Alligator mississippiensis: one gene and its partners. The protein of the gene in region 1 interacts with the protein of each later gene in a pairwise test. Links are inferred from orthologs where the notes say so. Each region holds a gene or a part of one and is shown in the gene's direction. Other genes may lie near its edges. The genes, in order: nuclear protein 1, RAN, MPHOSPH6 and STX18.

Region 1 (7,581 bases):
CATGGCTCTTTAGTGCCAACAGGGCGGCCATTTTGCCACGGCTCCTCCGGCCAACCTAACAGGCAGTCCCTGGGATGGGGGGTACCTACCCGGGTGGGGGGCCCATGGATCAGGGCACGGTAGAAGCACGTGGTCTGGGGGTAGAGCGCCAGCACCAGCTGGTCCTTCTGGAATAGGGCCTCAGGGTCCGTCTCCGGATTGGCCTTCCACTGCGGCAGCGGGATGATGCGTCGTCGGCTCAGCGTGTGACGTCTGTGGGGGCGGGGCGGGGCAGGGCAGGCAAAAGGGGGCAGGGTCAGGCCAAGGTAGGCCCTGCCCCCGCCCCTCCCCACTTTTGGAGGAGTCACTTACTCCTTTCCTTCTTCATCAATGTCATCCACCTCATACCTGTGGACAAGGAGAACCATAGAGTTGCCTTCTTTAGCTGGATAGAGGCCCCCCCTCCGAAGGGCCAGGGTCACAGAGACAGCCTTTCTGGCTAGTTAGAATGGGCCCCTGGGGGACCTAGCACCATAGAGCCAGCCTCCTTGTCTGCCTAGAGTGGCCCCTGGGGGTTCTAATACCATAGTCAGCCATCTTAACTGGCTAGAGTGGCCTTCTGGCATGCCAGGGCTATAAGGACAGCCCTTCTGGCTGGCTGCAGCGGGCTGTTGAGGACCCAGAACCATAGACACAGCCTCCTTAGCTGGCTAGTGGCCCGGGGGGGGGCGGGTCCTATTACCATAATCATCCACCTTAACTGGGGAGTGGTCCCCTGGAAGTGCTAGCATAGAGACAGCCCTTCTGGCTGGCTAGAATGTGCCCCTGGAGTCTCAGCCCTTCTTGACTGCCTAGAGTGTCCCCTGGGAGGACCATAGTACCATAGAGTCACCCACCTTAGCTGCCTAGACTGGCCTCCTAGAAAACTGGGGTCATAGAGAGAGCCCTGCTACAGCCGACTCCTGAAGCGCCAGGGTCAGAGCTGCCCCACACTGACTGTCTAGAATGCCCCTTCGGGGTGCAGGGGCCACAGAGACTTCCCTCTAGCTAGCTAGAGTGGACCCGGGGGTGGGTGTTCCAGCACCAGATAATCACCATCTTGGCTGGCTAGTGGGCCCGAGGTCATCGGGGGACCACAGAATTGCCCTCCTGGATGGCTAGAGGGGCCCCCGGGGGAGGAGGGGGGGTCCAGCACCATAGAGTCACCATTTTGCCCAGCCAGAGGAACCCCCTAGTGAGGTAATAGAGATGCCGTTCCCTCTTGGCTGGCTAGAGTGGCCCCTAGGACACCCAGTATCATAGTGTCATCCCTCCCCCCGCCCCACCCCCCATGGCTGCCTAGAGTGACTATCTTGGAGGAGCCATCACCCTGGCAGCCATATTAGAAGTCTTCCAATCCGTCCTCCTTCACCCTGGTGCCCATATTGGATGGGCCCTGGACCTGGCAACCATATTGGAAGCCCTCCAACCCCCCTCCCTCGCCATCCTGGCAGCCAGGCTGGCAAGTCCCACCCCATGGTGGACATCTTGGACTCCCCTCCACTCACTTGTTGGTGGCGTGGCTGTAACTAACAACCTCTGCCAGGATCCACTGCTCATCCCCGTCCACAGCTTTGACCCGGGCGGCCACCTTGTCCCCGGGCTTGGCTACGTAGTCACTGGCAGCTGGGATGGCGCCGCACAAAGGTGGGGGCCTGCAAGCAGGGGGCAGTTAGGGGTGTGGGGGAGGGCTATGAACCCCGCCCCCCAGGGCAGGGGGAAGCAGCAAGAGGTGGGGGGCTCACTTCTCGCCGGGCTTTCCAATCCAGAGAGGCAGCGTCATGGCCGATTGCTGGAGGAGGGTCATGAGGACCCCCCGGCGCATGGTCTTACGTGGCGGCTCCGAGTCGTTGTAGAGTCCCGCGATCTTCGCCGCTGTTGTGGGGAGGGCAAAAGAAAAGAGTGAGGTTTCTGGGTCCTCCCCGTCCCTGGATATCCACGTTGCACAGGACTGTGGGAAACAGGGCCGGTGGAGAGACCTATGTACCAGGGGCTTCTGGGAGACCCCCACAATATCCCCAGGGGTTTCTGGGAGGTCTGTGCCCAGCCACCCCGCATCCCCTGTCCCTCCCCAAAGAATTTTTGGATATCCCAGGCCCTCTCCCACCCTGGAGACCCCAAGACCTCAAGGGATTCTGGCAGTTCCCCCAGAGACCCCTACAGCTGAGGTCCCAGGGGATGCTGGGAAGTCTGTGTCCCCTTGTCAGACCCCAGGGGATTCTGGGAGGTATCAGGTCCCAAGGGATACTGGGAGTTCCAGGCTTCTATACCCTCCAGAGACCCCCACTAGCCCCGGGGGAGAATGCCCCTGTCCAACCACTTCTTGTCAGGCCCCAGGGGATTCTGGGAGTCCCGGGGGAGAGGAGGGGATTAGGTATTGCTTACCAATGCGTCTCTCCTCCAGCAAGGACTTGATCTCGGCGATCTTGTCCAGTGCCTTGCGCAGGATGCTGTGTGGGAGGGGGGGCAGAAAGGGGGGACATTAGTGACCGCTAGTGGGGGGGGGGGGATTTGGGGTGGGGGTGGGGCAAGGGGAGGCAAACTTACTTGCACTCAGCCTCTGCATCCGCCTTGGCCGTGGTGTAAAGCCCCCGCAGCTTGGTGCGGTAATAGGGGGAGACTGCAGGGGGGTGGGGGGGTGCAGTTCAGAACCCAGGCGTCCGGCCCCCCCCAATACTTGATTGAACCCGGGGGCCCGCCCCCCCACCTCGTGTTACGCTGAACCCTGGCGTACAGGCTCCGTCTCCCCCCCGCAATCGGAGATCAAACCCAGGCGTCCAGGGCCAGACCCATCGAAGGAGAAACCCAGGGGTCCGGGCTGGGCTGTAACCCCTCCCCCACCCCCACCCCCACCCCTGGGGGATTCTGGGAAGCACCCAGGCGTGCGGGGCGGGGGTCTCACTCTTATTCTCCGTTTGCATCCGCTCGTGGGTCTTCTGGATGTTCACCAGGTTGTGCTCGCTGCGGGAACGCTCCTCCTGCGGGGGGCGGGGTTACCAGGGCTCCGCCCCCTCGCCAGCAGCCTCTGGGGTAGCCCGTAGGAGGCGGGGATAGGACAACCCTCCCCACACACCTCCCCCTGCCCCCCAGCTCCTTCCTCTGCCTGCCCCAGGGAGGCGGCCGCACACCGCCTGCCCCAGAGGATGCTGGGAAAGGCCCCCCCCACCCCAGAGGATGCTGGGAAAGGCCCCCGCCACCCCAGAGGATGCTGGGAAGCTCACCTGGGTCTGCTTGATGAGCTGGTGCAGCTCCCCCAGCAGCTCCGCGATGCGCGAGTCGGCCGACACCAGCGCCATGGCCGCCGGGAGAGGGCGGGGCCTGCGGGGCGCCCGGCGGGAAGGTTTAGTCGGGGGGGCGGCTAGCTGGATTCCCACAATGCCCTGCGGTGGGGAGGAGAGTTGCTCACGCTCCCACAATGCCTTGGGGCTGGAGGGGGGACTTATGGCCTATCTCCCACAATGCCCTGGGGCTGCGGTGCCAGTAAGCTACTCTCCCACAATGCCTTGGGGCTGAGGGGGAGTCAAGGACATGCTCCCACAGTGGGGGGTTTGCTACTTTCCCACAATGCCCTGGGACAGGGAGCAGTTGGCCACACTCCCACAATGCCATGTGGCCAGAGGGCAGGTTGTCCATACTCCCACAATGCCTCGGGACTGGTGGGGTTGGCAACACTCCCACAATGCCCTGGGACCGGGGGGAGGGGGGGTCCAAGAAGCCGAATACGCATGCGCACTCCCATCACCCGCGTCCCCTCCAAGCTGCGCATGCGCATTCACCTGCTTACCATGACACCCCCTTCGCGCCCCCCCACCGCCCATTTCCGGCCCCGCTTGCCTGCCCCCCGGTCGCCCCCAGGCCCAGACGCACCGCGGGGCCCTCCGGGCGGGACCGGACCTGAAGCGGCGGCGAAGGAGCGGCTCCACGTTCCCAGGGCGGCAGCGGGAGGCGGGGCCCAACTACGCTTGCGCGGAGCCAAGCTCGCGAGGCAGCCTGGGACTTGCAGTCCCTGAGGAAGCGCTTTGAGGTTGCGCATGCGCACAGTGCCACCAGGGCCCACGCAGAACGACAGCGCATGCGCATCGCGCATGTTGCCCTTCCAGTCTCTTGCGCCATAGAGCCGGGGTCTCCCCGGGGCTCCTGGGAGTTGTAGTTTTCAGCTCCCCGGCCCCTCCCGCTCCTGAAACCCCGACCCCCAGCGCTCAGCAACAGCGGTGCCCCTCACTCCCGACCTGCAGCCGCTCCCCCACGTGCAGCATCGCCCATCCTGCGCCGACACCCTGCCCAAAATAGCCCCCCCTTCCCCGTACCCCTGTAATATGGGGGGTCCCCCCTTTCCTGGGGGGTGGGAGCAGGGGATTCTGGGAGCCCGGCCCCCTGGGTTGTCTGATGGGGGAGCCCCACAAACTCTTGTGGGCAGAAGGGGCTGCGGGGGGGGCACCCAGTTAATGATTCCCAGCTCAGGCGCCTCTCTATCAGGCCTGGCAATAAGGGGGGGGGAGGGCTGGGGGGGGGGGAGGGCTCAGCCGAGTCCTGACTCAGTCTCCCCTCGTGACCCGAGGTTGTTTTTCTCCCCATGTGTACCTTGGCCGGGGGCCGGCGGGGCGGGCGGGAGTGGGGGCACCGTAGGGGGGTGCGGGCTCGGCGTGGGGGCACCGCCGTGGGGAGCGATGCAGGTCAGCAGTGGGGCCCCCCTGTGCCTTTAAGGTTCTGGGGGTGGGGCAGGAACGGGGGGGGGGGGGGGTGCCTGGGGGGGAGACGGATGATGCAATGGGGGCGGGGCCTGGTCTATAAAGGGGGGGCAGGACCCAGCGAGACACAAACAGCCCCAGGAGACAGCCGGACGCAGCCCCTGCTGCACAGACCGACGCCCCCAGGGACCCCCAGCTCGAGGACCCCCGACCCCGCCTGCAATAGGCCATGGCCTCGGCCCGGCTTGATGCCGCCCGCCTGGTCCCGACGCCCTTTGAAGGCCGGTACCTGGACGCCTGCGACTACTACAGCCTGACCGAGCGCTACGCGGGTGAGGACCCAGCGTCCGGGCCCGGCCCCCCCTGCCCCGATCCCTGGCTATAAAGTCTGGCTATAAAGTCCGAAGTCACTAGATGGCAGCCAGGCTCCAGGCGTCCGGCTCCCGCCCCTCTGCTCCGCGCTCCCCTCCCAGAGCACCCAGGAGTGGGGGCACCGCTGTGGGGGGCTGCGGGGCGGGAGCGGGGGCACTGCTGTGGGGGGCTGCGGGGCGGGGGCGGGGGCACTGGTGCAGGGAGCTGCGGGTGGGAGTGGGGGACACCCAACTCTGACCCCTCCCCATTTGTGTCCCCCCCCCCGCCATCCCAGTGCCTGATGGGAGAGGCCGGAAAGGGCGTACCAAGCGGGAGGCAGCAGCCCACACGAACCGGCCCAGCCCAGCTGGGCACGAGCGCAAGTTGGCCACCAAGCTGCAGCGATCGGAGCGGCGCCGGGCGGGCAAGGAGTGAGCGGAGCCCTGCCCACAGGTGAGTCAAGATGGCAGCTGCCCGCAGGAACGAGCGGGGCGTGAACCGAGATGGCCGCCATGGGGGATGGGAATGGGGGAGTGAGCAGGAGTCAAGATGGCCGCCACGGGGCCTGGCATTAGGGATGGGAGCGGGAACCAAGATGGCAGCTCTTGGGCACGGCAGTGGGGAAAGAGTTGGGAACCAAGATGGCCGCCACTGGGTGCAGAAATAGTGAGGTGAGCAGCAAGCAAGATGGCTGCCACAAGGCAAGGCTGTGGGAAGCGGGCCAGGCATCAGGATGGCTGCCATTAGGCATGGAAACAGGTGGGAGTAGAAGTCAATATGTCCGCCTTTGGGCATGGCAGGGGGCTGGAAGTAATAACCAAGATGGCCACCATTAGGCATGGGCCAGGAGTCAAGATGGCCACCATAAGGCATGGCAGTGGAGCTAAGATGGCCATCATCACCCACAGCAATGGGGAACAGCACTGGGGTGGGCACAAAATGGTGGTAATGGGGCCCAAGATGGCCGCCAGCCACAACGCCAGGCTGGATGGGGGATGGCAGGGAACAAGATGGCCGACACTAACCCCACCCCCCTCGTTAGCTCAGAGCCTCGTTAGCGAACCCGGTTCCGGACCCCATGGCACACGGCGACACGGAGACGGACACACGGACAGACACACCAAGATGGCTGCCACCCATTGGGCCTGGTGGCCATGTTCTCGCTATTGCCACGGTGACCTCAGTGACCCTGTTGTCAAGGCGACCCTTTTGACCCCCCCATGGCAACCAGGTTTAACCTGTTGCCAGGGTGGCCATTTTGAACCCCCCCTTTGGAAGTCCTAGACACCCCATTACCAAGATGGCCATTTTGAATTTTCCCTGCAGCCACCATCTTGGGCCCATTGCCAGGGTGGCCATATTGAACCCCTCTGATGGCAACCATGTTCATCCCATTGCCATGGCAACCGTGGTGACCCTGTTGCTAAGGTAGCCATTTTGACCACCCCCTATAGGAACCAAACTCCACCCCTTTCTTGGGCAACCCCATTGACCCTCCTCATGGTAGTCATATTGATACCATCACCATGGTGACCATGTTGACACTCCCCCCCCCGCTGCCCAGGCAGCCATACTGAACCATCCCCATTTCAGCCATGTTCACTTTGTTGCCAAGACGGCCATATTGGCCCCCTGCCCATAGCAACCATGCTCAACACCTTTGTCTGGGCAGCCATTTTGAGCCCTTGGCAAAGGCGGCCTATTGAAACCATTGCCAAGACAACCAGTGGAACCCCTTGCAAAAGGCAGCCACATTGAAACCATCACCAAGGCAACCAGTGGAAACTCTTGGCCTAGGCGGCCATATTGAAACCATCGCCAGGACAACCAGTGAACCCACCCCGACTCGGCAGCCATGTTGGATACAGGGGAACCTCAGGTCCCAGGGGGCTCAGAGTGGTCAAAAAGGGGTGAGGAAAGGCACGGGGTGGGTAGCTCTGTAGCTGCCCCTCCTCTGGCCCCGGCACTGTTGCGGGGTGAAAAATAGTCAATAAAATGGGGGGGAGTTCTGAAGAAAATTCATGTTTCTTGAGACTTCTTCAGGAATGAGAGGGGCCAAGGGATTGTGGGTAGTGGAGGGGTTAGCCCCCCAATTGAGGGCTACACACACACACATTTGGCAGGAGGTCAACTCAAATGCCTTTATTCCCCCCACAGGCCGGATGCCCGTTGTCTCATTACTGCTAACGAACCTTGGAAGTCACCCTAATTAGACTCCCTCCCTGCCAGGGATGTGTGTACAGGGTTTGAAGGGGAAGGCCCTGAGGGAAGGAGATCGGTGGGTTGGGTTGGGCTAGGGGTGGGGTCATTTGTTAGAGTTGGGTTGGTGTCATTGGTTGGCTGGGTTAGGTTTGGTGTCCTTGCTTAGGATTGGGTTGCCATTATTGGTAGGTGGAGCTATGGATGGGATCATTTGTTGGGATCACCTAAGGGTCATTGATGGGTCAGGTGGACCCATCCCATCACCCCCTCTCTCCTCCTGGCCCCTCCCCGCTTTGTGGCCCCAGTCCATGTGGTTATGGGG
Region 2 (7,641 bases), on another chromosome or scaffold:
AGTACTCCAGCTGCGGCCTCACCAAGGCCGAGTACAAGGGGAGAATGACGTCCCGGGATTTGCTTGAGAAGCATCTATGGATGCAAGCCAGCGTTTTGGTCACTTTACTAGCTGCAGCATTGCACTGCAGGCTCATGTTCATCTTGTGGTCAATGATGACCCCCAAGTCTCTTTCTTCCATAGTGCTAGCCAGCGTAGCACTGCCAAGCCTATAAGGATGCTGCGGGTTTTTCTTCCCAAGGTGGAGAACCTTGCATTTATCGGTGTTGAACACCATCAGATTCTCGTCCGCCCACTTGCTGAGCCTGTCCAGGTCAGCCTGGATCACCCGCCTGTCTTCTGGTGTGGATGCTTTGCCCCAAAGTTTGGTGTCATCGGCGAACTTGGCCAGTCCGCTTCTGACTCCAGTGTCCACATCATTAATGAAGATGTGGAATAGTATGGGTCCAAGGACAGAGCCTTGGGGGACCCCACTGGTCACAGGACACCATGATGAGTGACTTCCATCGATTACTACCCTCTGGGTCTGAACACGGAGCCAAATTTCCAGCCAGTGGATCGTGGTGGACCCAACGCAACAATTGGCCAGTTTCACCAAGAGGTGATCATGAGATACCAGATCGAAGGCTTTTTTGAAGTCAAGATATAGGACATCAATCTCTTCTCCCTTGTCCAGGTGATAGGTCACCTGGTCGTAGAAGGAAATTAGATTGGTCAAGCAAGACCTACCCGCGACAAACCCATGCTGGCTATCCCTTAAGATGTTGGCGTCGGCCAGTCCATTAAGGATGGCCTCCTTAATAAACTTTTCTAAGATCTTCCCTGGGATAGAAGTCAGGCTGATGGGCCTATAGTTTGCCGGATCCACTTTCCTCCTTTTCTTGAAGATAGGCACCACATTGGCCTTTTTCCAGTCTTCAGGCACTACACCAGAGCGCCGAGAGTTTTCAAAGATCCGTGCTAGAGGCTGGGCAATGATGCTCGCCAGCTCCTTGAGTACCCTGGGGTGTAGATTGTCAGGGCCGGCTGACTTGAAGGTATCCAGCTTCTCAAGATGTTCCTTCATGAGGTCAGCATTAATGGAGGGCAGGGGATCACCCTCACCCGGAATTCCCTGTCCCGTAGCGGGCATGGGCGTCCCATGGGACTGTTGAAAGACCGATGCAAAGTACCCATTTAATAGGTTGGCTTTTTCCTGGGCATCAGTTGTCAGTTGCCCCATCTGGTTCAGCAGGGGTCCAACGTTGCCCCTGCTTTTCCTCCGGCTCCCCACATATCTGAAAAAGGACTTTTTATTGTCCTTGATGCTCGAAGCTAGTTGGAGTTCAGTTGCAGCCTTGGCTTTCCTGGTATGCTCCCTGCAGGACCGGACCAGTGCAGAATAATCCTCCTTGCAGGTGACTCCCATCCTCCATCCTTTGTAGGCCTTTCTTTTTAGCCTCAGGAGGTCTGCCAGGTCCCTGGAGAGCCAGGGGGGCTGCTGTGCCCTCTTGCTGCCTTTCCTCCGAGATGGAATAGACTTAGTTTGTGCATTGAGGATCGCTCCCTTGAGAAGCAACCACTCTTCTTGAACTCCCCTCTCCCTGTGGTCACGGTCCCTTAGGGCCTCACTGGCAAGCCTCCTGAGCTTGTCAAAGTCGGCCTTCCTGAAGTCAAGGACTTCCGTGTTGCTGACTGACTTGCCAGCTTTTTGACGGATGGTGAAGGTGATCAGCTCGTGGTTGCTGTCACCCAGCTTCCCATCGATCACTAGGTCGCCGACTAGGTCATCCCCAGTAGCCAGTACCAGGTCGAGCAGCGCTTTGCCTCTCGTTGGCCCATAGACTTCTTGAGTCAGGTAGAGGTCATCCATGAGAGGAAGCTTTGCGACTGCTCAGATTTTGCTGAGCGATCCTCCCACGAGATGTCTGGGTAATTGAAGTCACCCATGACAACCATGGTCCTGGAGCATTGGCTGATGGAAACAGCCAATCAGAGTGCTCCAAGTGTGGGGGAGCGTTGTCATGATTTCAAAGCCATGCCGAGGATTGGACAGAGGGTGGGGGAGCTGAGGGCAACAGCATTGGCCTTGGCTCTCCCACCCTGCTCCCTGCAAGTCGCAGAAGAGTGGCAGCATGGGTCGTTAGGTGAGGGCGCTCCATCCCAGCCCCACCCCCCCATCATTCTTGATGGGCAATTGGCTAGTTAATTATAATAAGTACTTTGGAAGGGATGTTTATGCCTTAAGATTTAAATCAATATTAGAGGATGAAACCTCATATGTGAAGGGCAGATTATCCTGCAGCTGTCCTCCAGGGTTTTCAGTAAAATCGTTTTATACATTCCTTTGAGACGTCTGGAATTGGCCCCTTTTAGACTAGATGAACCTCAGGTCTGATCCATGAGGAGAAACGTTATGTTCCTATTCATTGACAAAGGGGCTCCTTAGAATCCGCGCTACAACATCCCTTCCTGTTCGTCAGCAAGTCTTGCGTGTTCTCTACCTCTCAACCTGTATGATTGGATGAAGTCGCATTTACTTTTTTCAGTTTATTATTCCAAGAAATATAGTTGTGATTTTTACTGTGTATTTTGTTAATTAAGATCAAGTACTGCACTTGATATGTAAAGCATTGTAAAGTATTTAATAAGTTTAACTAGCTTATTTAATTACAATGTGACTATTATGCCCGTAGTAAAATCAGTTAATTATTTCAGAACAATATTTGGGGAATCTTACAAATGGCTTTTAACCAATATAAAGTGATCGACCAAAATATTTCCTGGAAGTATCTGTATCCTTGTCAAAAGCTGCAACACTTCAGTTAGTTTATAAGGTGCATCTCCACCCTGACTTCTGCCTGACTTTAGGCCAACAGGGCTACTACTTCTCTTAAGTCTACAGTAATGTGTTTTATGGTCTCAGCTCTCGGAAGAAAGGTTTGATTTAATGATCTCATTACAGGGGAAGAGAAATATGTAAAGTTGTGATATTTTACCAAAAGAAAACGGAAATATTTTTCATTCGTAGTGGAGTTTTATAGCACACAAAAGCTGCAACGGACTGCAAGGTCTTTTTTCAGATCTTGATTTTAAACATAGTGAACATCATAGGGTTAATAAGAAGTAGCAGACTATGTTTGTGCAGCCCAAGGGATCTGAAATACTTTAAAACTTCATAGGATCACAGGAAAGTAGGGCTGGAAGGGACATCACAAGGTCATCTAGTCCGGCCTCCTATTCAAAGCAGAAACACTCCTGACTAAACCATCCCAGCCAAGTGTCTGTCTAACTTGCCCTTGAAAACTTCCAAGGATGAAGATGCCACAATTTCTCTCGGCAGCCTGTGCCAGTGCTTGGCCACCCACAGTGCCAGAAAATCCCGACTAATCTGTACATTTTCCCTGCTGCATTTCGAGGCGTTGCTCCCAGTCCTGTCCCCTAGGGCAGCAGCTCTCAACATTTTGCACCTTACGTCCCACCAACCACTTTGTCAAAAAACCCTGGTCCCACCGCGATAAAAACAAAACCCCACTTTTTTTCCCCAAGAAGTGTATTTTTACGTCTACACGCACTTTAGGGACATTAAAAATTGCAATAATTTTGTTGAGAAAAGTCCCACCTACACATGGGCAGCGGTCACAGGGAGCTCCTGCAGGCAGCCGCGGCAGTGTCAGTGTCAGTGGGGGTGGCAAGCACGGACCAGCCGCCAGCGACCACCCGCAGACACCACCAGCAGCGGCCAATAGCAATCCACGACCGCCTACAGACGCCGCTGCCGGTGGCGGGCAGCGACTGCCCACCGGTGCTGCTAGCGGCGGTGGCGGCAGCCGATCGCAGGGGTGCACCACCCATCTCAGGGGGTGCACATGCACCCTGTGCACCCTCTACACGTCGCCTGTGACCTTCACGTCCCGCCGGTTGAAACGCTGCCCTCGGGTCAAGGAGAAAAGCTCGTCTCTCTGCCCCCTCTAGGTGCCCTGCAGGCGTTATGCACCCCCCCCCTCAGTTTTCTGGGACAAAAGTTTCCTAAACCAACTTGACCCGAATCAGTTAAATCTGTTACCACGTGCAACCAGGTTAATCTTAAACCCGTTTCAGCCATTTTGAAGCTGGGTGCCGCGCACGGAGCTGCTGTTCGGTTTAGGGTGGCATCGCGGAGGACCGTCCGGTTGTCCATACGAACCCGGACGCCTTGACATCCTCTTATTTACCTCCCCTAACCCAAAGCCTAATTCTTCCAGTCTCTTTCCCTCAGTTTCCTGTCATTCGTGCCCTGTCCCCCCTAGCTTGTTGTGCGACATCTCCTATCGATTGCATTGCTTCGTGCCCCCCTTCCCCAACGGAGGGAAATCAAACGAGCACGGGGGGCACAACCACAACGGACTGAAGGAGCATCTTGAAGGACAAGGAGGGAGGCCATGAGAGGAGACGACTGGGGGGGTCTGAGGAGCCCGCCGAAATAAGAGGGCGAAAGGATCCAGTTCTTTTTACTGATTGTACTCTCCCACCCCGCCGCCCTGAGGGGGCTTCACGGCGGGCTCCCCGCGCGCGGGAAAAACTGAGGGGGAGAAGGGGGCGGGGCGCGACCAACGAGCGCCAGGCGGCGGTTGGGCTGGGCGCGCGGCGCATGCGCGGGGCGGGCGCCGGTCACGTGAGCGCGGCCCCTCCCTCGCCCGCCCTGTGTCCGCGCCGCGTCGCTCTCCGGGTATTTGAATCGCGCTTCCGCCATCTTCTTCCCTGCGTCCAGTCACGGAGCCCAGCGCCGCGGACAGACGCCTCGGCAAGGTAACGGCCGACCCCCTGCGGCGGGCGGGCGGGAGCGCGGATGGGGCTGCGGCGGGGCCTAGTGCGGCCTGCGCCGCGGTGAGGGGGAGGAGTGGGGGAGGGGGAGGGAAGGCGGCTCGGCTCGGCACGGCTGTGCTGTGCTCAGTCATGGTGGCGGGAGGCCCGCGGGGGCGCGGCCGCCATTGCCGGGCTGTGGGGCGGGAGGAGGATGAATGGGCCCGGCCGGACAGGCGCGGCGGAAGGGGCGGGCGCGGCGCACGCGGTCGGGCCTCCATCGCCCGCCGCCTCACTCCGCTTCCGTCCCCTCCCGCAGACCCAGCATGGCCGCCCAGGGAGAGCCCCAAGTGCAGTTTAAGGTAAGGAGCCGCCTCTCCCCCGCCCGCCCGGGGCCACCTGCTCTCTTCCCTGAGCTTTTTATCTTTTCGGGCGGAGGGGGAGGGGTACGGCTCTTTTCTTTTTCCTAGCTCTTCGTTTTCATTCACGTTTTCCATCCGCGGCCGGGGGGACGCCGCAGTGCTCCTCACGCTCCTGGCTCGCCGGATGTAGACGTCTCCGTCGCGCTCCTCGTAACCCGGAGGAGTTTAAATCGGGAGGTCCCGCGCGAGCCGCGGAGGAGTCTCAATCGCGTTTCTTTTTTTTCTTTAACCCATTTTAAATTAAGGTGCCCCTTGGGAGGCTGCGAAAGCCACGGAGGAGTCCCGATCGTGTTTCTTTTTCTAACCCACTTTCAATTTGCGGCCTTCGAGGGACATCCTGGAGCTGCCGGACGAGTCTTGATCACGTTCCTCATTTTACATCGGGGCGCCCTGTGGAAAGCGGCGCAGGAGTCTTGATCGCGCTCCTTTTTTAACGCGAATCAGTTAAAGTTTAACATCTCCGTGGCTTTTTGTGGCTTTCCATGGGGCATCTTTAATGGTTTGTGGTTTTGAAAAAAAGAATATGAATCAAGACTTGTCCAGAGGAAGGTTACAAAAGCCATGGAGGGGTCTTGATTGACGTTTTTTTAACCCGAATAATTTTAAAGATCTTTGGTAGAAGGGTACAAGAGCCGCGATCGTCTTGATCGCGTTCCTTTTTTTAACACAAGCCAATTAAAAAGATGTCTCGTGAAAGGCTACAAAAGCCATGGAGACCTTTAATTTTAATGGTTCACCTTAAAAAAAGGAACACGATGGAGATGATCATGGCTTTTGTAGCTTTCCACGAGACACGAGTCATCTTTTTAACTTCAGTGTTAGAAAAGGAATGGAAAATCAAGACTTCTCCATAGCTTTTTGTGGCCTTCCACAGGGCAAGCCATGATTTTTTGGCGCACTTTTTTTTTTTTTTATCATAAACCTTTAAAACTAAGATGTCCAGCGGAAGGCTGTAAAAGCCATGGAAAAATCTCGATTTGAGTTAAGCTCTCCACGGCTTTTGTAGCCTTCCATGGGACAAGTCTTGATTTACGTTCCTTTTTAACCTGAATAATTTTAAGATGTGCCGTGGAAGCCAGAAGTCTGTTAATGGAGCTCATCCTGATGCCTTTCATGATTCAAGCTAAAACAAAAGATACAATAGCTGACACGGACCAGTCTAGCACTACAGTATTTCAGTGCTTAACCCACATTGACGAACCCAGCCAATTTCTGGGGTTTTTTTGTTTTGTTTTGGTTTTTGTTTTTTTTAAGAGAAGAAAAAATTGTTCTAACATGCATTCTTCAGGCTAATAAAAATAGTTTGGAAGTGCTAGTCACTGACCTGTCTGCCCTTTAATCTGGAGTTTCATAGACATTAGGGCTGAAAGGGACCTTGCAAGATCATTGGGTCCAGCCCCCTGCCCAAGGGGCAGGAAGTCAGCTGGGGTCAAAGGATCCCAGCATATAAGCATCCAAGTATTTCTTAAGAGTCCAGAGTAGGTGCTTGTACCACCCTGGGGGGAGTCTATTCCAGGCCTTGGGGGCTCAGGCAGTAAATAAGTTTTTCCTTCTGTCCAGCCTAAAACGGTCTTGCATGAGTTTGTGATCTTGTCATCCCTAGCGCTCTGGTGAACAGGTGTCCCCCCAGGTCATGATGCACAACCCTTCAGTACTTAGAGGCTGCCACCAAGTCACCCTTGGATACTTAGTAATGCATAAGTGGCAGAACCTAATTTAAGACTAGAATATGACTTCATGTAACAAGCACACAACACTAAAGCCATTCTAAGAAGTAAAATATATTAGTCAGGCCATATTTGGGAGCTCCTTAAGTGAGTGTCTAACTAACCTTCCTTGCCTAGAACAACTTGTAGGGCCTAGAGTTGTAATTTTAAAAAAACTACCTAAAATTGACTGATGCCTCAGTAGTTTACAGGAAGCTCCTAAAACGTGTTGCCTTCATCTGTGTTTTGAAATCTTTCAACAGCTTGTCTTAGTTGGTGATGGTGGTACCGGCAAAACAACATTTGTAAAACGTCATTTGACTGGTGAATTTGAAAAGAAGTATGTAGGTATGTTTAAACATTTGCATGGAGAATCCTAGTGCTAGTTTAGTTTAAAACACTGTTGGCAGGCTTTTTAAAGTGGAAATGTTTTATTGCAGCAACACTGGGTGTTGAAGTCCATCCTCTGGTGTTTCACACTAACAGAGGGCCTATTAAATTTAATGTATGGGACACGGCTGGCCAGGAGAAGTTTGGTGGCCTGCGAGATGGCTACTATATTCAGGGTAAGTTTTACAAACACTATTCATTAGCTTTGCAGCAGACTTCTAGGTATTTTGTCATCTTTGACAGCTTTGCAAAGTTGCTTGTGCAGTGGACCATTGCTTATGCATTTGGTGTGACATAATAGTAACGGCATTTAAGTTGACTTGCTCTTCAAAACAGTGCAAGACTTCTCGAGGCAGACTTTG
Region 3 (7,742 bases), on another chromosome or scaffold:
TCATGATGGTAATGTATTCTGTGCACTTATAGAGCACGCTTCACCCAAAGATTTTAAAACAGTGTGTTTAGATGGATATCTCAGTTTATATAATGGAACTGAGACAAAGTGAGTTTAAGGGAATAATAAAAAATGACATTGCAAATCCATGGCAGAGTTAGAGTCTGAAGCCTAAAACGCATTTGTATTCACTAATTTACTATTGTAGAGATTCCTTTCTGCCTTTGAAAATTGTGATTTCAGTGCTGTAAGTAATTATTTCAGTCCAGAAGAAGTAACATAGTGGTGAACGACACCTAAGGCCTCCCTTGCTCAAACCATTAGATTGTCTCTCCCCCATGAGCATTGTAACTCCTATGCAGAATATGCCCAGTTACAAGCTGTAGCTAGACAGTGTTGCTGCCAATTCTTTACAAACATATTCCAAACTAGTATTTTGCCATTTTGAATCCTAGGCATTTACAGCATTTCTGCCCGTGGAACGCTGGTATAAATCAGGTGCCATGGAAAATACATTGTGCAAAGACCTGGAACCAAAAAAGCTAGCCATATGGAGAAAATGTGTAGCAGGTGGTGAGAACAAAAAATGTCTGCGTCACATGGACATGGTTTTCTTTGCACCAAAATGATGAACTTTGATAGCTTGCTTTAGAAGAAGGTACAGTCTAAGAGACACCAGACACTCTCTCCAGTAGGTGAATTCAATGGAATATGGAGGTGTTCAGAAATTCTTATCTTTTTGATGCAAAAACATTTTTTGTCCATCTGATGCAGTCAATCTCTCTATCTGAACGCTACTGACCAGAATGCAGTCTAGGGGAAATCTTTTCATCTCGTTTGTTTCGTCCTCCCCACGTAAAATGAAATACTTGCCTACTTGTCTCAATTGTGAAATTTTGGGCTGAAACTTTCTGCCTAGTAGAACATTAAAGTGATTAAAGTACTAACTTTGGACTCAGCTGAGTAGATATATGTACTGAACTAAGGTTGCTCAGCTATTTCACATCTGGGACATAGTGGAGTGTCTCCGTTCGGCATATGTTTGACATACTCTTACGCTCACTTCTCTGCTTTGTCACCAACCAGACAAGGCGTTTTAACAAGTCTTCCTGCTTCCACTGCTCATCTGTCAAGTGTGGCTTAAAAGTACTTCCCTGATCCAGAGAGAGATTAAGCACGTTAAAGATGGTGAGGTGCTCAGACACTATGGAATAGCAACTGTACACAAGTATTATGTAACAATGAGGCTGATGGTGAAATATAGTAGTGAATTTGAACCTGGTGTACCTTCCATTTGTGCCACAACTTCCACGTTGTTTTGGGGTTCTTTTTTGATGAAAGGCTGAGAACATGGAGTGAGTCAAAGTTCCTTTTACTTCTTAAACATTCTCAGCTGGTTTGCCATATCAAAAAGCTGTCTCTTTAAACAAATCACATTGTTAAAAATACCATGTTATAATTCAGCAACTAACTCAAAAAATGACAATTTAATCAATCAGAACCAACCCTGTTGGAAAAAAAAAAAGGAGAAAAAACAGCCTTTCATACAATGTGAGTGGCTGAACTATAAAAAGGTTCAATCACGCTGGAACAAGCCTGCAGCATCAATGTTTATTAAAGTCAAGGGAGCTATTTATTGACCTGGGAAATTGCAAACTATCACCATTACTGCCGGATTTCTTTTTTATAGTTAAAACTGGATTGTAGTATTTCCCTTTTCTCTTTTAATTGTAATTATGGCAAATCCAGAAAGTTAGGGCCCTCTAGATAATTTTAAGGCACGCAAAGAGATGCATATTTTGCAAAGGGCTCTTTGGCCAGTCTCTCTGCTCTGACTCCTCGTATTAGGAAATAGTCAATCCATTGCAACATGGGACCAAGTGTCCATGTTTATCGACATGCCAAGTGAATAAAAGGCCTTTAGAGCACCACGACTATGGAAAGACATGGAAATTGAGAAGCTACTATTCTGAGGCTACTACTATCTAGAGGAATTACTGTATTTTTTACACATAAATAGCCATCCTACCATCTGGGCTGTCAGACACATTTAGAAGCTAGCATTTCCCAGACAGAGAACAGACATTTCCTCAGATAAACACATCTCTTTGGCATTTTGTGACACTTTGCCTCATTTGGTGCCAAAGATCGTTCGATCGATCGTGTCGATGTTCAAAACGTATCTTAGGGTGCAGGGTTACACGAGACCATCAAGAATGAAACTCAGGTTCAACACGAACACTTGAGAATATGAAATTGCACTTACGAGTCTGTGGCCTCATAACTGTATGAACCTAACTCCTATATAGGACTTAATACCTCATCTTTGTGTCCTATTCCCAAATTCCCACTAACACCCATGGGATACGCAAAGGAAAGGACTGGGGTTTATGAGGCTCAGAAGTACCTGTATAACGAACTGCCATCTCAGCAAACACCAGGGCTTGAAGTGGGCACTTCCAAAACTAAAAAACGATTCTGGAGTCTGAGCTAACAAGGTAAGCTTTCAAACTGAGAGCTGCAATCTACTGCAGATTAGGTACATAGCAGAATACGTGGCAAACAAAGACTAGTAGTTTACGCATTTATACATCTAGTGTAACAACTCCCTGACCAACTAGGTTCTTCTTCATTGTCACTAAACTGTATACATTAGTCACTCAGGACTTCATGGCAGTAACAGAGAGAAAAGCTAAATCCTTCTGTCTCAAAAGTTCAGGCCTCTACCACTCATGCTATTTTCTGTTTTTTACATGGTGGATGCATTTAAGCAGATCCAGCTGCATCTAGGGGACGACAGCCGTATGCAACACACGGTTCTTGGGACATTATCCTTTAAGGTTTGCAAAGTCAGCATCACCTAAACCTCTAAGTTTCATTTCCTTCTTCTAAGGCACATGCATTATATCCTTGTAAAATATACTTGAAAAGTTTTGCACAAATTCTTGACTCTGCTCTCTTAAATGTTTTAATTTTACTGGGACAAAAAAGCAGTATAAAATATCCTAAGACCTAAGAAAGGCACTCCAGAATTCAAAGGTATTTTGAAGGGAACCCCAATCAATTCACTGGTCAGTATTCTGCTTGAAATCCATATATTGTACTCGAATCACAATAATTTTGGAAATATAAATGCATGCTTTATATGTCAAGGAATACTATTACCAAGTAGGTAACCTCTGCGTTGTCTCAAACTGGACCCAGCTGAGCACAGAAACAATTCATTAGGATCATTTAAGAACTAACAGTTTTCCTGTTGTTTAAAGGGAGGCTATCTTTTAAAGAATGTTAATTACAAGTTTGATTTGACATTGGCAGTCCTGGGAGAACCCTCCACCGCCTAAGAAGTGAAGTGTTTTATCTGTTTACTGTTGAATCTTTCATTACTTGGATTTCCCCTCCCTTGTTTGCTTGAGTGAGCTATTCTCATTTGGAAAAAATAAATGCATTTGTAGCTTGAAAGCAGAGTTGCAATTCAACTGCTCAGCACATTTGAAATGCAGGTTATACACATCCAGCTCTACTCTGGCTCATCATAGTGGTTGCTGTTGTTTTTTCATTTGAGACTGCTTTTCTCTGTTGCCTAGGAAAAAGCGCCTGGGTAGTGGATAATTATTTTCCTCCTCCTTTTTCACTGTGAAGACCCCTTTTACACTTCCTTGACCCTTCCTTCCTATTTTGTGCACTCCAATCCTGGCCAAAACTCAAACCTTTGTGCACAGTCCTCAGGTCCCCCATCCAGGCACTTTGCAAATCTTATGTGGCTACACTTCTGAGAGACATCTTGTGCCCCACGTCCTGACTGTTTCAAACAAAGCAAACTCGTTCTCTTTTTTTTCCCCCCTTTTGTACTTACAACAGTAAGCATCAAGATGCTGAGTATGTGTTGAACGCCACTGCGCTCGCTTATGTAGAGGTCAGGTAACAAGTCTCCTCCAGGATTTTTTTTTTGCAAGCTACTGCTTCTCAAGGGCTCAGCCTGGCGGCCTAAGGGAGTACTGCCAGGCTTCATAAAAAAATTATGAATCAGGCCCAAAAAAAATGAGAAAACAAAAGATCCCTTTTTTTTTTTTTAAATAATCAATTCTTCGATTTTTAATTTTCAGACCCTTTCAGTCACGCAGATCAGGATGCTTTTTTTTTTTTTTTTTTTTTTGAATCATCAATACAGAACATGTCTGCTTTTATTTTCAGGACACGCGAGGATGTGCGACTTGAGGCTTTTCTCTAACCCGGAAACATACTTTCAAACAAATCAAAGTGGAAAACTGCACTGGGAGGTGGAAACAAATCTTCCCGGGTGTCATTGAATGAACGCGGGTTCAGGTTGTAGCCGTGTTGGTCTAAATTCATGAATATCAGCGACACGAGGAGCCAAATTATATATAAAATTATTATCGAAGTATATAAAATTGGAGGCGGGGGGAGCCAACCCCAGGCTGGCTTGGCTCCGCCTCGCCGACGGCCCGAGACCCTTCCCCGCTACGAGTCACGGCTTGGAGACCCCCGCTATAAATCACCCCTCCTCATGATTCACGCACCTAAAACTCCTCTTTCAATCATAATTGAAACCCCCCCCCCCATAGCTCATAATCCTGAGACGCTCACTGTAAACATCATAGCGCTGAGCCGCCCCTCCCCGTCCTCCATCATGACCCGCGGCCTGGCGCAGCGGCGGCGCCGGGGGCTGGAGTGCGAGCGGGGCGGGGCGCGGGCGGGGCCGCGGCGCACGCGAGGGCGGGGACGGGGCGCGGCCTGCGCGCGGGGCCGGCGGTCATGGCGATGGCGGGCGAGGGGAAGCCGCGGCTGTCTAAGAACCTGCTGCGCATGAAGGTGGGCCGCGATGGCGGGGGTTGGCTGCGCTGTGACTGACACCGTGTCCATGACATGGAGTGGAAGGATCCTCCCTTCCTCCTCCTCCAACACGGGGTGAAAAATCCTCCCCTCAGGCGGAGGGTGAGGGGCTCTGCCACGTGCTGATGGCAGCACGGGGTCCTCCCGCCTGAGCCCTGCCACCAAAACGGTGGAAATACCCGAATCTGGAGGATGTCTGCCACGTGCGGGTTGTGGACTCGGCTTGCAGACATGTCTTGTAAAAGCAACCCCAAAAAATGGGCACGAGCCTCTTCAGGAAGGCTTCAAAGCGCTCCTGGCTGCGGGCGGGGAGCGGCGGTCGAGGGGCCGCACGGACGCGGCACCCCTCGCGCCCGGGGCACAGCTGCGCGGTGCTGACTGCGTGGGGCGTTCAGTCCCCGGCGGGTGTCGGGTGGACTTGGCGTCAGACTCGCTCCCAGTTAGGTGTTGTTGGCCTCTTGCGTCTTCCCGCCGACCCACGACTCCGCTGGGAAGCGAGCGGATCCGAGCGCGGGGTCAGGACTGAAGATGGGTGATATCGTTCTGACCCATCGGCCTGTTATTTGTGTTCGAGTCGCGCAGACGGGATGAGTTCGGGGCTGGAGCGCGTGTGGTCCGGCGACCAAACCCGGCGACGTAGCCGAACCACACGTGCGCCAGCCCCGACCCCTGGAAATGCCGCGGGCCGTGTCCTTGCTGAGAGCAACGCTGCGCTTCAACAGCAGCGGTTGGCATGTTTCCCCCGCCGGCCGTGAGGTGAACAGAGCCTTATTTTTATTTTTCTTGGCGTTACCGTTTCCTTATACGTGGAGTCCTCGCCTGGCCGCACGACCGAGGTGGTATCTGTTTCCATTCAGGTCACTTCTAATTATACTGGATTTGTTTTTAAAGTGACCTTTTAAGACAACGATAACGGCAGGTTGTTTTGCCTTTACTTTTCCTCGCTGGGGCATCCAGCACTCTTCAGTATTTTAATGCTACTTCCCTAGAAACATCTTGATCCGTACACTATAATAAACCAGCTAGTAATGGCCTTAGGGGATTTGGCTAAAAACCCACCGGTCTGTCCTGGTAATGACTCGAGCAATGACAGAGGTTTGGCGACGCGGCCACGAAATGAGCGACTATAATAACCCCGATGAAACAGCAGCGCTAACGGCGTCGACTCGCAAGTGCCATGTTATCTGCATTTGTCGCTCTATAGCTGCCTCCTTATATTCCCGGAGGAAGTCTTGAGGTTTTGTAAACTGTAGGCGCCTGCTGTTTTGGTCCAAGAACATACTTCAAATTATCTTCGTGATCTCGGCAAATCTCACGCTAAGCAAAGTAAGGTTTCTTTCCTGAAGCGCGTTTGAAAATTTGTTTTCAACCCCCAGGAGGTTTCTGTGCAGTCAGAGCTCTGCCAGCCTCTCTGTGATGAACAGAAATATTTAGACTTCTTTATTTCATTGCATTTTGAACTTAAGATAGGCCATTAGGTGCCTTATTTGGAGCGAATCTTTTTAGCGTGGAGTGTATCCTAGCTCTGCATTATCCCTGCTTTCGTTATTTCTGTTTGTTTTTACTTTGATTGCTCGTGGAATATCCTACAGTGGTCTTGATTTATTTTTTTTTTAACCATTTTCCCCAATTCCTAAAATATATAGCACAAAAGAGAGATGTTATTAAAAGACTGACCTAGCTAGTGCCCTTGGAATTGAGACTCCAACGTCAAGTCCAGAGTGAAATTAGTCTCAGCTCAGTGGCTAATGGACTCTGGTTCACATCTTGTAATACAACTCATAATTCTGTAGAGTACATACTGGCATGATTGATGATCTCTTTATTTCTGGAGAACAACATTGAAGTTGAATTGCCATAAATTTTTTAAAAATATAAATATTCATTAAATATTTATGACCATATAGCAGGGCCTTCATGGCTTGTTTGCTTCATTTAAGTTGTGCCATTTGCACTGGCTTGCTCACGTGCTCCATGTCTCCACGCTGTATTTGGGTTTGTGTTGTTCTTTTCAGGGTGGCGAGATGAATTTTGCAGTCTCCGTTCGATCATCTGTCGGAGCGAGCCAACCTTTTTTGGGAGGCCTGCCTCTCCCATCCCCTTCCCCTGCCCAGTCTGCTGCTCTGCTTCCTACTGCCAGCCCTGAGCTCCTCCCTTCCTGATCAGCTCCTTTACTTGCCCAGTCCTCTCTGCCTGATTTGCTGCTTTGCTTACTGCTTTTTGCCCCATCTGCTCCTCCTATTCCTCACCGATCTGCAATGTGCCACAGACTGGCCACCCGTAATCCATGTGGAGTGAACTCTGCTAAGAAAGCAAACTGTTTTCCATAACTAACAGATCTCAGAAAACCATGACCAGTCTGTCTTCCTTAATAGCTGAATAGCAAGAAGAAACTTGAAAGGGCTTTTCAGTTTAATGCAGTTATGCCATGCAAAAAGTTGCGCTGTCCATGTGAAAGGTTACTGTTTTTGAACAGTAATAGGCACCTACTAGCAACACTATGTAGCAATAGTAATGTTATAATTAAGGCATTTCACTAATAAACACTAAGTGCAGTGTGGCGCCTGTTGCCATATCTGTTGGCCAAGTCCAACTGGGAAAAGATCAGAGGCATATTCTGCTTATTCCTGCCTGGAAGAATTTGTGCTGTGGAGGAGTTCTTAGTGCTGGATTATTTGCTGCCTGTAAAATGTAGATTTTTCCCCAACTGTCAAAGTTTTTGACAGCTCTTCCCCCTGGAGGCAGCTTCAGATGGTCTCAGGACTTTCACTAAAATGGTACTTGAGAACAGTACCCTGCAAAGTCTGAGTAGTAGCAACTAGAAATGAAACGGATGTGTGTGGTTTAACAGAATGCAAGCTGCCCAAAAAGGATCTTTTTGGTGTTTA
Region 4 (7,930 bases), on another chromosome or scaffold:
ACCTAAATTATATGATGCCTTTTAAAACCTATTTTGCCTTTGGTTGTTGAAACCTGCTTTGCCAATCTCTGTTTCCATCATTGCCAAGACCCTCTATGCCTTAGCTTCTACATCTATTGGAATTTCTCAAATAACAGCCAGTTGTCAGCAGTAATAGATAAGCATCATTCCAATCACAAAGAGTATACCATTTATTGAAAAGTACCTAATAAAGAAAAGCAGTGATTATGGCTATGACTATAAGTACCAGTAAGATGCTGTTTCTGAACACAGGATGGTCTTTACATTTCCACAGTCTAAAACCATAAAAGATGCAGCTTAATAACATAAATAGCAACAGGTCTTATTCAAAGCCTGCTGATATCAGTGGAAAGGATGACTTCCTTGAGCTTTGGATCAGATTCCAGAAGCATAAGAAAAATTCACAGAAACATTTCTATTATTTATCTTTTTAGTAATACTTTAATGTCAGTTAAACTACAAATGTCTCCTCTATAGTGCTGAGCAGTTACTCACACAAGTAACCCCAGTCTGTGATAGGATTATCTTTTGTGAAAATTCTTCTACAAGAGCAAAACAAAGTTCTTTGGGTAAATGTAGTATCTTTTATTAGACCAACTAAATACAGTAAAAGCTTTGTTATCTGGCATGAGTGGGGTAAGGAGGGTGCCAGTTATGTAAAAATTTTGGTTATCTGGGCTTGCACATGGCAGTGGCAGCAGCGTTGGGTGGTGGATGGCAGCAGTGGCCATTACATACAAACTCCTCCCCACCCCCATGTCCAGCTATCCAGATGGCATCTGTGCAGCCTACAGAGGGAAGCTGCTACCCTTGCCCCCACTCAAGAAATACCTGATGCTCATGCCAGATAATAGAGTATTCCAGCTGGTAAAATGCCAGTTAATTCAACTTTTACTGTAGTTTGAAAAATTGTTCTTTACAAGCTTTTGGGCACAAACACCCTTTTTCAGGCATAGGCAGAGTCTACTGGTGTTTGTGTGCTCTCTAAACCAATATGTCCTTACAATAATAATATTAATATGCTAATATGTCTATAAAAGTAAGGACTCCATAGTGTGGCCCAACGTAAGCAGTTCTGCTCATTTTAATGGGGCTATTTGTGTAGGAAGGCACAATTTAGTGAAAAAGTGGCAGAAATTATGGCCCATTAGAAGCATCTTAACTTGGCAACAGCAGATTTGTGTGTCAAAAATGTCTACAAAGAGTTCCGTCCTGGGGGTGACAGTATGATCAATGAGACATTTCTGGAATTCCATTAAGTATGCTTATTTTATTCTTAGCAAAGCAAAGGAAGGTGGAAACAGGCAATTTTAAAGGACCATACCTGAAAATGTCTAATATACCATGTGTGAATTCCAGGCTTTATTAAATACATATTTTGCTAAAGTAGCCCCATACTATATTGCTCTTAAAGGCATTTGGCTGCTAGTTCACACACATACCGGTAGCATTCATGGAATGATAAATCTAGTTTCCCTTGGCACCCACCTGATTAATACCTTAAATATTTTCTCACTATAAATCCAGCACCGAGGACAGTGACTTTAACTGCATATTCTTTTTTTTACTGAAAATACTTATTAGTGTCACACTAAACCCTCCGTCTAGAATGACAAATAGAGTAATAAGTAAAACAACATGAATGAAAAGTAAAATAGCTAAAATTACTAATAGCATAATTATGGAGGAGGCACTAATGATGCTTTAGTTAGGGTTATGTTCAACTTTTAAACTAAAGCAGGATCGTAATTAGTAACAGAAAAAACCCTGACTCTTTTTATGCAGCTATGAAGAGCCTGGATTAAGTTCAGTTTTACTATGGAGAGAGGCAGTATTTTGACACCTGTGTTGAAGTTTTACACTTAGGGGACTCCCTGTGGGACTGTGTCAGAAGTGGTCTGGGGAATTAGAGCTGAATTTAAAGAACACATTGAGATTCCAGGCAATACACCACTTCCACACTCCCTTCTCTCTTCAGTGTAAAAACATTGCTTGGAGGCTGGAACTACAAAACCCACATACACAGCTAGTAGAGTTGATATTAAGGCTGAAAACCAAGGTGAAGGTGAAGGGAATCTCTAACCAAGCTGTTATTGCAAGTCATCCAATGAGTGGGTGGGAAGGGAGGAGGGTCAAATGGCACAGCTTTTGCTCGGGGCTCCTATGAGTCTGTGTGGCAGCTAGGTAAGAATCCATATGGCTCTTGGTCTAGAAGATCCTCATATACAAAGCATAGCTACTTGTTCATGTGGTGGTAGGAATGAATTTGCTCCAGCAATATTAATAATAACAAAGGTTATTTAAAGCAGTCTTCTGACTTCCCACTAAATTGCTATAAACACTATATTGCAATTCATGGGGCATTTTACTTTTGCACCATCCTGATACCAACGTGACTCTTCTGTTGAATGCTAACAGATCTCCAGATCAGATTTCCAGGCCAATCCAGTCCAGTGGAAATATTTTAAACATAACTTATTTCTCAGCTATATTCATAGTCCTGAAGAACATGCATACAATTCCTTCTTCCAAGGCCAGTCCAACACCATGCCTGGTTCCCAAATAATAATTCTACCATAATGGACTAATCCAGAGGTATTCAACCCTGGCTTGTGGGCCAGGTCCAGAGGTACTCAGCCCTGGCCTGGAGCTGTGTCATCTGGCCTGCACGGCTCCCCATGGATCTGGAAATTTGGTGATGCGGAAATGGTGCCTACTCCCCTGCTGTCAAATTTCTGAACCCATGGGAAGCTCCACAGTCCTACACACTAGATCATGCATGAAGGATGATGTGTGTCCTGATCCTGGCATGCAGGAGTGATGCGGGGTCCAATCTCAGTGCGTAAGGTTGGGCAGTTGGCATGAAGTGCCAAGGTGTGCAAGGCTCAATTCCAGCATGCAAATTAGAGGTGCACTGATACATTGGTGCAATAACAGATCGGCACCGATATAAAGAAAATTGAGTGTATCAGAAATTGGCCTGATGTGGCTGATAAATTGGCTGATAAATGCCCATGCATGCGTGCAGCTACAGCGCAGCACATAGGCAGCCAGGAGCACAGCTCGGCAACTTGGAGAGCTGCATGCAGCTGGTAAGTCTGTTGCAGTAGAAGGGGTGGGGGAGGGAAAGGGTGTGGGGGCAGGGGGAACACAGATCAAGGCCCCAGTGGTGAGAGAGGGAGAGAAGCTGGGCCTGGGGCTGGAGCAGGCACTGCCCAGCCAGCGCAGGACAGGGTGCAGGGCAGAGCTGGGGTTTGTCCATGTTGACACTGGATTTGACCCAGCACCTATACCTTTGTTTTGGGCGGGCACAACCCTCAGAACGACCACACCACCTGCCAGTTGATAATAGGCTAATTTATTGATACAGAGTAAGAACAAAAAAGCATCAATACCAACAATCAAACAATTCTGTATCTACCAGTCCTAGGGCTGTCATCAAAGTACATCTGGTCAGGATGGAGGCTCCACTCTGAGGCTCTTTCTTGGGTGTCAGCAGTCTGGAAGTGGGATGCTGAGGCCCACAGCGCCCCTCCAGTGGGCACAAGCTGGGCTACTGGTATGCCCTCAGTCCATGGTGGCCTTCGGGACCCTTCCCGGGGGCCAGGGATGGGGACCCCTTTCAGGGAGCAAAATGGGGAGGGACGGGAAAAAGGGAGGGACCCTTTGTTAATCGCAAGTCTCTGCTTTTGTATTCTCCTTCCCCCTTGATGACTCCTCATGACACTTCATTTGTTGAACACCACTGAACTAACCAACACTAATCCACGTATATCCCCAACACTGAATCTTATACCTCTTCACAAGATAAGGAAAAGAACTGGGAAGACCATATCCAACAGCGCCACCTGGTGATGTCTGCCATAAACAAATAGGACAGCTGACAAGTGACGGGTAGATATCCATCCCTAGTCAGCTCACCCTGTCAATTTAAAAGTTTTGCTAGCATAACTGCATGGGCAAGGGACATGATTTCCATTTGTAACATAGCTATTTGATTAAAAAAAACAAACCCAAAAACAAAAACAAAAACCCAAAGAAAAGAGACTGTAGTACAGAGGCAGTTATAGAGGCAGAAAGCGCTTTTGCTGATAAAGCTTAATTCACCTTCAATGAGTAAAAAAACTTTGAACAAAAATGTTTGTGCAAATAGACGCACCTGCATCTGCACTAGGAGGGTGTTTGCCCAGTACCGGTAAGCTGGCAAAGCTTTTGAGTGCAAGCAAGGCCCAAATTCAGGATGTGGCTCTGCTGGCCGAACCTGGTAGCATTGTCATGCTGGACAGGAGCATGAAAAGATCACCCTCTGTGGCTGGTGCAGCTTGGCTGTAAATGGCCTGGGCATGGTCTCTGCAGGGAACTTGTCGTTCAAGGCAGCTGGCACAGCTCTGCCAGCCAGGTCAGCGCCCTACCAGCAAGGATGGCCGAGGATGATCTGGCAGCAGCCAGGCCCCAGCCTTTCCCCTTTATACGCTATCTAAACCAAAAGCCCAGCGCGGGTGCACGGGGCGCTTGGTGCTGGAGACGTGCGAGCGCCGCCGGCCGAGGAGCCGGAGCGCCGGGCACTCGAGTCAGCCCGGGGTCGAGCCTCCGGGTCCCAGACACTGCCGGTGCCGGCTCTCCGATACCCCTCGCTCCCGGGACCTGCGGCCTCGCCCGCCGCTCCGCCGCCTGAGGGCTGCTGGTGCCGGGGGGGCAGCGGCTGGACCGGGCCTGAGCGGGGCACGCGACATGAGACGAGGCCTGGTTAGCCAGGGCGGCGCCCCGGGGGTCCCGTGCGGGGTGGGTGCCGCTGCGGGGCCTGCGCCGGCTGGGCGGGATCCCGGGGGCGGTGCCTGCCCCTCCCCGCCGGGGCCGCGCGAGGCGGCGGAACGGGCGCGCGGGGCGGCGTTGCGCGGGGACGAGTGTGCGGCGCGCACCGGCTGCCAGCGCGGCGGCGGCGGCGGCGGGCGGGGCCGCCATGGCCGTGGACATCACGCTGCTGTTCAAGGCCAGCGTGAAGACGGTGAAGACCCGCAACAAGGCGCTGGGGCTGCCGGCGGGGGACGGCGCCCGCGACGAGCTGCTGCGCCGGGGGGGGCCGCGGCCCCGCAGCGACTTCTCCGCCCGCGCCCGCGACGTGGTGAGTGCGGGCCGGGAAAGGGCCTCGCGGGCCCCCGGGCGCGGCGGGAATGGGGACGCGGCCCCTTTAAGCCCGGCCCCGCCCCTGGCGCGGAGGCCACCGGGCTCGGCGGGGCGGTGACGTCACCGGGGCGACCTGGCACTGCTGCCCCGCCCCCCGCCGGCCCGGCCGCCTCCCTACCGGGTGGGCGCGAAACCTCTCCGCGCACCGTCTGGCTGCACACACAGCCCTGCCACACCGGCACACGCAGACATGCACAAAACCCCTCCACGCACCCTGCCTGCCACGCACACACACACCCAGAACCCTGCCACACCTGCACGCGCACACACACCCTGCAACACATGCGCACACAGACATGCACAAAACCTCACTGCGCACCCTGCCCGCCAGACACACACCCCCCGCTGCGCGCACACTGCCACTCGTACACCCCGCCACACACAAAATCCCACTTTGCACTCACCCAACACCCGTGCACACTCACCCACAAAACCCTGCTGTATATGCGCGTGCGTGCACACACACCTTGCCACACACACACAAAACCCTGCACACATGCACACACACAAACGAGCACAAACCCTGCCACATGCGTGCGCACACAGACGGGCACAAGACCCTGCCACATGCATGTGCACACCCCCCCCCACATCGTGCCACACATGCACAGACACAGACAAGCACAAATCCCTGCCACACGCACACGACTACCATGAGCACACACCCTGCCACACATGGACACGTGCACACATACAGACATGCACAAAACCTTGGTGCACGTACACACACAGACACACACAAAACCTTGCCACACATGCACACATACGCACAAAACCCTGCTGCACACACACACACAGACACGCACAAAACCCTGCCACATGTATATACACAGATGCACAAAACCCTGCCACACACACACACGCCCACCACCACACACTCACCCTACCACACTCACTTTCCCATCCACCCACCCACCCTTGCAAAGCTAATCATCACAACTGATTGGATCGCTGTTGTCTATGCAGGCCTGGTGTGCCCCCCCAACACGTGCACTGCAATCGCATGCTTCTTCCCATGTGACTCTACCTTGCTCATGGCACCAAAGGGAATGTGCCTCGTGTCTAGCGAGTGGTTCCTGCTGTATTTATTGCACATGATTCAAATCCTGTGTTAAAGACAGAATGATTAATTCCCTCATTGGCTTAGTTTTTTGCTGCTTGTTCCTGCAGTATCTGAATGCAAGGACAAAGCATTAACACTTGAAGGTATTATCCTCATTTAAAGGTGAGGAACTGGGGTATAAAAAGATGAAGGGCCTAAGAATATACTAATTTTGAGTGTTAAGTATTAGATATCTGCTTTTTCAAGTCAGGCCGCCATAACATGAAGTTTACAAAATCGGGGGACATCTGTAAAAGGTTGGTTTAAATTAGGGCTGTCAGTTAATCATGATTAGTGCATTAATCGTTGGTGTTAATTTTTTTAACGTGTTAATCGTGCACGTGGTTTTGGAGCCTGCGCCTCGGCTATGCTCTGCTCCCATCACTGCTGCCTCCAAGCCGCCCCATGGGCAGTGGTGGCAGAGCAGAGGACCACAGGGCAGCTGCAGCAGGGGAGAGAAGCACACACAGAAATGCAGCCGCAGCCTGCACTCAGCCAGGAAAGTAGCTTGGTGGCGTGTGGAGTAGCACCCACATGTAGAGTGGAGTAGCACCCAGCAGGCAAGTCTGTGAAGGGGGAGGAGGGGGACAGATTGGGGCTCCCATGGTGAGGGAGAGAGTGGGGCAGGGGCGGGGGTGAATGGGTCCCTGAGGCCAGGTCATGGGGCAGAGCCATGGCTCATCCATGGGAACTGGGGGTGGCGGGGACTCCTCCTGCTGCAATCACCCTGGGGGTGGCACAGGGGCCATGTGCCCCCCGGATTTATGTGTGGGGTGGAGGCGGGTTGCCGCTGCAGACGAGCTCTGCACCCCACTGCCTTTGCCCCAGAAGCTGCGCACTGGCAATGTTGTGTCCCCTACCTGGCTGGCAGCAGGAGGCACAGCATGGTGTATCATGGCTCCCAGGATAACGGCAGCAGAGCATGGAGCGCAGCGCATAGCAGCAGCCCACCTCCACCCCAGCCACAAATCCAGGGGGCACGTGCTTCCCATGCTTCCCCCAGGGGTGCGCACAGTGGCGGGAGCAGCGCCCCCCCACGCCTCTGGACAAGCTGTGGCTATGTCCCATAACCCACCCCAGCCCTGGGGCCCCATTCACCCCAGCCCCTGCACATGCCTCTGCCCCACTCACTTCCTCACCATGGGAGCCTCGATCTGCCACCCCCATGCCCGTTCCCTCCCCCATGCCCCTTGCCCTCCACAGATTTACCTGCAGTGTGGTGTCTCTGTGTCTGTCTTCCCCTCACCCCCAAACCACAGCCCCCTCAGCCTGGCTGCTGCCCCTCACTCCTGACCCACAGCACCTCACATCCTGCCCGGGTGTGTGATTCATAGATTCATAGATTCATAGATGTTAGGATCGGAAGGGACCTCCATAGATCATCGAGTCTGACCCCCTGCATAAGCAGGAAAGAGTGCTGGGTCTAGATGACCCTAGCTAGATGCTCATCTAACCTCCTCTTGAAGACCCCCAGGGTAGGGGAGAGCACCACCTCCCTTGGCAGCCCGTTCCAGACCTTGGCCACTCGAACTGTGAAGAAGTTCTTCCTAATGTCCAGTCTAAATCTGCTCTCTGCTAGCTTGTGGCCATTATTTCTTGTAACCCCCGGGGGCGCCTTGGTGA

Evidence for each region.
Region 2: the proteins of nuclear protein 1 (region 1) and RAN interact in a two-hybrid assay, tested with the Homo sapiens proteins (2 studies listed by BioGRID and IntAct). The link is inferred for Alligator mississippiensis from reciprocal best matches to the Homo sapiens genes NUPR1 and RAN.
Region 3: the proteins of nuclear protein 1 (region 1) and MPHOSPH6 interact in a two-hybrid assay, tested with the Homo sapiens proteins (2 studies listed by BioGRID and IntAct). The link is inferred for Alligator mississippiensis from reciprocal best matches to the Homo sapiens genes NUPR1 and MPHOSPH6.
Region 4: the proteins of nuclear protein 1 (region 1) and STX18 interact in a two-hybrid assay, tested with the Homo sapiens proteins (2 studies listed by BioGRID and IntAct). The link is inferred for Alligator mississippiensis from reciprocal best matches to the Homo sapiens genes NUPR1 and STX18.

What each region holds. Positions count from the first base shown.
Region 1 is NC_081830.1:821,148-828,728, reverse strand, and holds nuclear protein 1, read left to right. Parts: upstream 1-4,814; 5' UTR 4,815-4,935; coding exon 4,936-5,038; intron 5,039-5,352; coding exon 5,353-5,492; 3' UTR 5,493-5,510; intron 5,511-6,099; exon of another isoform or gene 6,100-6,104; 3' UTR 6,105-7,075; downstream 7,076-7,581. Other genes in the region: SGF29 (SAGA-associated factor 29), read right to left, coding at 90-252, 352-387, 1,527-1,673, 1,764-1,893, 2,404-2,468, 2,566-2,638, 2,921-2,996, 3,240-3,398 and 1 more. UniProt on the Homo sapiens protein: Transcription regulator that converts stress signals into a program of gene expression that empowers cells with resistance to the stress induced by a change in their microenvironment.
Region 2 is NC_081833.1:9,575,011-9,582,651, forward strand, and holds the start of RAN (GTP-binding nuclear protein Ran), read left to right. Parts: upstream 1-4,641; 5' UTR 4,642-4,767; intron 4,768-5,080; 5' UTR 5,081-5,087; coding exon 5,088-5,123; intron 5,124-7,152; coding exon 7,153-7,237; intron 7,238-7,329; coding exon 7,330-7,455; intron 7,456-7,641. UniProt on the Homo sapiens protein: GTPase involved in nucleocytoplasmic transport, participating both to the import and the export from the nucleus of proteins and RNAs. Switches between a cytoplasmic GDP- and a nuclear GTP-bound state by nucleotide exchange and GTP hydrolysis.
Region 3 is NC_081833.1:70,633,806-70,641,547, reverse strand, and holds the start of MPHOSPH6 (M-phase phosphoprotein 6), read left to right. Parts: upstream 1-4,726; 5' UTR 4,727-4,776; coding exon 4,777-4,833; intron 4,834-7,742. UniProt on the Homo sapiens protein: RNA-binding protein that associates with the RNA exosome complex. Involved in the 3'-processing of the 7S pre-RNA to the mature 5.8S rRNA and play a role in recruiting the RNA exosome complex to pre-rRNA; this function may include C1D.
Region 4 is NC_081825.1:28,609,220-28,617,149, forward strand, and holds the start of STX18 (syntaxin-18), read left to right. Parts: upstream 1-4,914; 5' UTR 4,915-4,981; coding exon 4,982-5,143; intron 5,144-7,930. UniProt on the Homo sapiens protein: Syntaxin that may be involved in targeting and fusion of Golgi-derived retrograde transport vesicles with the ER.